Linked DNA regions of Macaca mulatta. The protein of the gene in region 1 binds, or shares a complex with, the protein of each later gene. Links are inferred from orthologs where the notes say so. Each region holds a gene or a part of one and is shown in the gene's direction. Other genes may lie near its edges. The genes, in order: CDHR5 and ANKS4B.

The links.
Region 2: CDHR5 (region 1) and ANKS4B share a complex: the UniProt entries of both Homo sapiens proteins name them as parts of the IMAC/intermicrovillar adhesion complex. The link is inferred for Macaca mulatta from reciprocal best matches to the Homo sapiens genes CDHR5 and ANKS4B.

What each region holds. Positions count from the first base shown.
Region 1 is NC_133419.1:511,291-514,346, reverse strand, and holds the end of CDHR5 (cadherin-related family member 5), read left to right. Parts: coding exon 1-9; intron 10-162; coding exon 163-276; intron 277-359; coding exon 360-933; intron 934-1,395; coding exon 1,396-1,562; intron 1,563-1,737; coding exon 1,738-2,163; 3' UTR 2,164-2,258; downstream 2,259-3,056. UniProt on the Homo sapiens protein: Intermicrovillar adhesion molecule that forms, via its extracellular domain, calcium-dependent heterophilic complexes with CDHR2 on adjacent microvilli. Thereby, controls the packing of microvilli at the apical membrane of epithelial cells.
Region 2 is NC_133425.1:21,170,871-21,174,438, forward strand, and holds part of ANKS4B (ankyrin repeat and SAM domain-containing protein 4B), read left to right. Parts: intron 1-2,391; coding exon 2,392-3,481; 3' UTR 3,482-3,568. UniProt on the Homo sapiens protein: As part of the intermicrovillar adhesion complex/IMAC plays a role in epithelial brush border differentiation, controlling microvilli organization and length. Plays a role in assembly of the complex.

The sequences.
Region 1 (3,056 bases):
GAGTTCTCGGTAGGTAGCACACGCAAGGCTGATGCCTGCCGCCCCCACGGCAGCCTTCCTGTTGCCCAGGGTCCCTGGGTCCACCCGGCCTCCCCTCTGTGGGTGGGTCAGGGCTGCAGATGGGAGGCAGCCTGGCCGGGGACTCAATGAAACCCTGTCCAGGACCTCAACTCGGCCATCACGTATCGAATTACCAACCACTCACATTTCCGGATGGAGGGAGAGGTTGTGCTGACCACCACCACACTGACCCAGGCGGGGGCCTTCTACGCAGAGGTGAAGGGCAGGGCAGGTGGGCATCTCCAAGGGTGTGGGGCTTAAAGACGTGCCCAGGAGAGACAAGCCCCTTCCTGCCCTAGGTTGAGGCCAAAAATACAGTGACCTCTGGCACTGCGACCACAGTCATTGAGATACAAGTTTCCGAACAGGAGCCCCCCTCCACAGGTGAGCCCCCATCCCCAGAGACTGGAGGAACAACTGGGCCCTGGACCAGCACCACTTCCGAGGCCCCCAGACCCCCTGTGCCCTCCCAGGGACCCTCCACAACCAGCTCTGGGGGAGGCACAGGCCCTCATCCACCCTCTGGCACAACTCTGAGGCCACCAACCTCGTCCACACCCGGGAGGCCCCCCGGTGTGGGAACCAGCACCTCCCACCAACCAGCCACACCCGGTGGCGGCACAGCACAGACCCCAAAGCCAGGAACCTCTCAGCCGATGCCCCCCGGTGTGGGAACCAGCACGTCCCACCAACCAGCCACACCCGGTGGTGGCACAGCTCAGACCCCAGAGCCAGGAACCTCTCAGCCGATGCCCCCCGGTGTGGGAACCAGCACATCCCACCAACCAGCCACACCCGGTGGTGGCACAGCTCAGACCCCAGAGCCAGGAACCTCTCTGCCGATGCCCCCCAGCAGGAACACCCCATCCTCAGGTAGCACCCACTCCGTTGCCTTCCCTCCCTGGCTCAGATCACTGGGTGGTAGGGAAATGCTGTAGGAAGGGTCCACCCCAGGCTGACCTGGCCTGACTATGAAATCCCAGAGGGGTCTGTTTGGGACTGACAGACACAGACAGGCCAAAGGCCCTCAGTGAGGTGAACTGTGATGTGTGTAGGACAGAAGCCAGATTTGGGGTCCAACGAATCCCATGATTCCCACAGCTGCCGGCTCACCCTGCAGGCCCCTGCCCCTCCTGTGAGCAGCCTCTTTGTTGGGGGGGGGGAGCCCAGGGTCTCACTGGGACACACAGGCCCCTCCAGCCAGGGTCAGCAGAGCCTGAGATTTGGGAGACAGCCCAGGCCTGGGTGATTTCCAAGTGTCTCAAGCCTGGCACAGGTTGGCATGGGGAATGCCTGGGGTGCTCAACAGTGCGGGGGTGATGGCATTTTCCACAGCGATGCCAGGTGGCGGCCCCTCGGAGGACAAGCGCTTCTCAGTGGTGGACATGGCAGCCCTGGGTGGGGTGCTGGGTGCACTGCTGCTGCTGGCTCTCCTTGGCCTCACTGTCCTTGTCCACAAGCACTACGGCTCCCGGCTCAAGTGCTGCTCCGGCAAAGCTCCGGTGAGGCCCAGGGTGGAGGGCAGGGCAGGCGACCCGCAGGGAGTGGGGGACAGGAGAGGGGAGGGCAGAGGGGAATATGTGGAGGCGGAGGGGTGTCCACCGTGGAATGAGGGTGTGGAGAGGCCACAAGGCAGCAGAGACCCAGGGACCCCGCTGACGCCTTCACTCCTGCTAGCAGGAACCCCAGCCCTCAGGCTATGACAACCAGGCGTTCCTCCCTGACGACGAGGCCAACTGGGCGCCTGCCCCCAGCCCCACGAGCGACGCCAAGCCCGCGGAGGCACCGCCGACGCCCGCGGAGCCCGCGCCCCCTGGCCCCGCGCCCTCGGGCAGTGCCCCTGAGGCCCCGGCAGCGGCCGTAGCCGGGGGAAGCCCCGCAGCGGTGAGGTCCATCCTGACGAAGGAGCGGCGGCCGGAGGGCGGGTACAAGGCCGTGTGGTTCGGCGAGGACATCGGGGCGGAGGCAGACGTGGTCGTTCTCAACACGCCCACCCTGGACGTGGATGGCGCCAGCGACTCCGGCAGCGGCGACGAGGGCGAGGGCGCGGGGCCTGGCAGGGGTCCCCACGATGAGCCCGGCGGCGATGACTCGTACATCTAAGCGGCCCCTCCACCCTCTTCCCCGGCCGCGCGGGCGCTAGAGGTCCCGCTCCCCTAACCCCCGACCCAAGGCAGAATAAAGCAAGGCTCCCCAAACCCAGGCCGTGGCGTGGGGCGGGCGCGCGGGTCCGTGCGGGCCCCATTTGCTCGCGTCCCCCATCGTCCTCGGCGCTCGAGCCCGGGTGTGCAGACGGGGGTGGCGGGTCCCGCCGCGCTGTCCCCACCCGAAGGCTGCAACGCTTCCCGTAAACCACCTGCTGTGCCCGCCGTCTTCCCGAGGCTCCGCGCCAGCTGGCCCGCGAAGTTCCTCTCCTGCTCTCACCACAGCCGGAGAGGGCACTCCCCTCCCCCAGTCTGCACTGGGGATCTCAGGCACCCGCTCAACTCAGACCTACCACTCCCGACCCGACACAGAGATTGCCTGGGGAGGCTGAAGAGCCAACGCAAATCCCCAAGACGATGCGCTTGGAAGCCAGTGGTCTCAAACATCTGCCGGGCTGGGGGTCCTAGTCCCCTTCTGAAATCTACATGGTTGGGTTGGGGCGCAGCATTAAACACCCACCCAGAGGCCTGCACTGAGGCACGCGGGGGTCGGTGCGCGCGAGTGGCCTGAGCAGGAGCCGGACCAGGAGGCCTAGGGGTGAGAGACACCTCCCGGTCGCTTCTCCCAAGGCCAGAGCCCAGGCTGGCCACCCATGCCCAGAACCATCAAGGGGTCCCTTGTGGGTCGTCAGCACTGTCCCTGATGAAAAGACACTATTAATTCCTTTCCAAATGTTTTAATTGCGAGAGCGTCTGATATTCTTGTCTGAACAATCTAAAGAACCCAAAGGGGGCCGCATGGTGGCTCCCGCCTGTAATCCCAGTACTTTGGGAGGCCAAGGCGGGTGGATC
Region 2 (3,568 bases), on another chromosome or scaffold:
GCTGGGATTTCAGGCGTGAGAGTCTTCTGAACTTCTAACAAACTCACAGGTGATGCTTCTGGTCTGGAGACCAAACTTTGAGCAGCCAGGAACTAGTAGAAGGGTCATGGCGCACTAACAGGTCATTTTCAAGGGTGCAGATCTTCTCTTCTGCTTCTGCCTTCTACCTCCTGGGAATGTTAAGAGGACTTCTCAGACTCACTGTCCTCTTTCCATGGGGCCAGGCTGGCCAGAGTTTAGTGAGATCCTGATTTTGGAGTCTAGACTAGGGCAAAGGAAGGACCCCTTAGTATATGTATTAGGGTTCTCAGCAGTGGTGCATGGCTCTGGACATCATTAAAAAAAAGTTACTCGACTTTTCATCTGTTCCTGTTTGTCACTCAAGTCCTCGTAGGAGAGGACGGTTTGCTGCCTTGAGCAGGATTCCAATAGGTTTTCATTCATTCCGCAAATACTGGAGCACCTACTATGTCCCTGTTCTGTGCCAGGCATTGGGTTTCTGGCCTTAATACCATCTAATAGTATCTTCAATTCCTCCTTAAACTTTTGTAGAATGACACACTTATATGAACCTATAGTCATATGGAAGTAAGTGGAGAAATAAATAGAGATGTAATGCCCTTTTAATGAATAAATGTTTATAACAGGGACTGTTTGCTACCTCCCCAACATCCATTTCTTTCTTCTTTTCTGCTGATGGGGACTGAGTTTGGTTCAGTTATTTATTTCTCCACATGTGACTCAATTCGGGAGGGTAGCAGTAGCATGCTGGAACCAGCTTGTTGGCAGTTATTTCTAAATTTTAGAAAGTTTGGCAGTTAAACATAGCCATTCTTTTTTACTTTTTATTATTTTTATTTAAAAAAATATTTAATGGAGACAGGTCTTGCTGTGTTTCCCGAGCTGGTCTTGAATGCCCAGCCTCAAGCAAATCTCCCACCTCATCCTCCCAGTGCTGGGATTACAGGCATGAGCCACTGAGCCTAGCCTTTTTTTTTTTTTTTAAGACAGGGTATTGCTGTGTTGCCCAGGCTGTAGTACAGTGGTTCAATCATAGGTTACTATAAGCCTGAGCTTCTGAGAACATAGCCATTCTTAAAAATAAAATAACAGGCTGGGTGTGGTGGCTCACAGTTGTACTCCCAGTACTTTGGCAGGCTGAGGCGGGTGGATCACCTGAGATCAGGATTTAAGACCAGCCTGACCAACATGGTGAAACCCGTCTCTACTAAAAATACAAAAATTAGCTGGGTGCTGTGGCGGGTGCCTGTAGTCCCAGCTACTCGGGAAGCTGAGGCAGGAGAATTGCTTGAACCTGGGAGGCAGTGAGCCAAGATCGCACCACTGTACCCCAGCCTGGGCGACAGAGCAAGACTTCGTCTCAAAAAAAAAAAAAAAAGTTTAACCTTTAATTTAACAAATTATATTAACAAGGTTACACAAAAGTCTCACTTTCTACTTATTTTAATACCTTTCACTCTTACCTATCTCTTAAGGTAATTCATGTCCATTATATCTACCTGGTGGAAATGGTTGATAATGGTATGCTACTGTGGATCTCTTCCAAACTCTGTGTCTAGTGATGTCACATTGGTAGCTTGAAATCTGCCATGGTGGATGTATTTACACCACAGAAATTGGCACATGCTACAAATTAGGATTTTGATTTTATTATTTTCTTGAGGAGCCATTGAACAATCCTATGCCTAGTTTCAGGGCAAAATCCAATTGATCTAAGTTAAACACAGTACTATGTTTCACATCTCTTAGGCATGTGACCCAGTGCTGGCCAATGAGACAAGAAAGTTGTTTGGCTGGCGAATTTCTTAGAAAGTTTTTCTTGCTTCTAAAAAGGAGACACAGCCGGGTGTGGTGGCTTACACCTGTGATCCCAACACTTTGGGACGCCAAGGTGAGCAGATGGCTTGAGTCCAGGAGTTTGCAACTAACCTGGCAACATGGTGAAACCCTGTCTCTACAAAAAATTAGCCAGGTGTGATGGTACATGCCTGTAGTCTCAGCTATTCGGGAGGCTGAGTGGGGAGAATAAACTGAGCCTGGGAAGTCAAGGCTGCCAATAAGCTGTGATCACACCACTCCACTCCAGCCTGGGAGATAGAGTGAGAACCTGTCTCAAAACAAAACAAAAGAAACAAACAAAAAGGAGACACAGGTTAGAGATGGACTCTGTTTCTGGCCATGTGGTTTTAAGATGGGACGGTTCTAAGATAGCTGGACTTGCAGCCAGTATCTTACAACAATGTCAAGTCAGGATGAACATGTTTGCATTAACATGCCTTTTGTTCTTTATTTTTGTTTTGAATTGTTGGAGCCCAATTCAGAAAAAAATGCCCAACATGTTTATTTATTTTTTTGTATTTTCTCTTCTAGAGGGGACCCTGATAGGTGTGACATCTGGGGAAACACTCCTCTACATTTTGCAGCCTCCAATGGCCATGCCCACTGCGTCTCATTCCTGGTCAACTTTGGTGCCAACATCTTTGCCCTGGATAATGACTTACAGACTCCGCTGGATGCTGCTGCCAGCAGGGAGCAGAATGAATGTGTTGCTCTCCTGGACAAGGCTGCCACTGCGCAGAACATCATGAACCCCAAGAAGGTCACCAGGCTGAAGGAGCAGGCTCAGAAGAATGCCAGGAGGCAGATCAAAGAGTGTGAGAGGCTCCAGGAGAAGCACCAAAATAAGATGGCCCGCACCTACAGCAAGGAGGAGTCTGGGACTGTCTCTTCTTCCAAGGGTACCTTCTCCAGGTCATTCCCTTCAAATGCTTCTGCTCCTGGCACATTCGGGTCACTATCTAAGGGCATTAAAGATACTTTCAAGATCAAGTTCAAAAAGAACAACAATACAGCAGAACAGGTGGGGAAGGAAGGCAGAAGTGGGCAGAGGAACGTGATGGAAGTGTTCAGAGAGGAAGAGGAAGACTCATTCTCAGGGGACTTCAAAGAGAAGCTCCAGTTGTCAGCAGAGGAGGACAGCAGTGTGCGCCATGAATCCATTCTCAATCGTCCAGGTCTAGGAAGTATTGTTTTTAGAAGGAACAGGATATTGAGTCCTGAAGACATCTCAGATAGCAAGAGGGAGTTGGGTTTTAAACTGCCCAGTGAATTGTTTCAAACACAAGGAACATCAGAGACTGATGAGGGTATAGCTGATGAAGAGGAAGAGGAAAACAGCCTCAAAGATGATCTACCATGGGGTGAGGATGAAGTGGAGTGGGAGGAAGATGTGGTCGATGCCACGCCCCTGGAAGTGTTCTTGCTGTCTCAGCACCTGGAAGAATTCCTGCCTATCTTTAAGAGAGAGCAGATTGATCTAGAAGCTCTGCTGCTCTGCTCTGATGAGGACCTTCAGAGCATACAAATGCAGCTGGGTCCCAGGAAGAAAGTTCTGAATGCTATAAACAGGAGGAAGCAGGTGCTACAACAGCCTGGGCAGCTGGTCGACACCAGCCTGTGATGGAGGGTTTTGGCCTGGAGCATTGGGGTGATGCTGTGGTCTGCTGGCAGCACTCCAGGCAGCACCCCCTCTTTACCCAATGCCAGA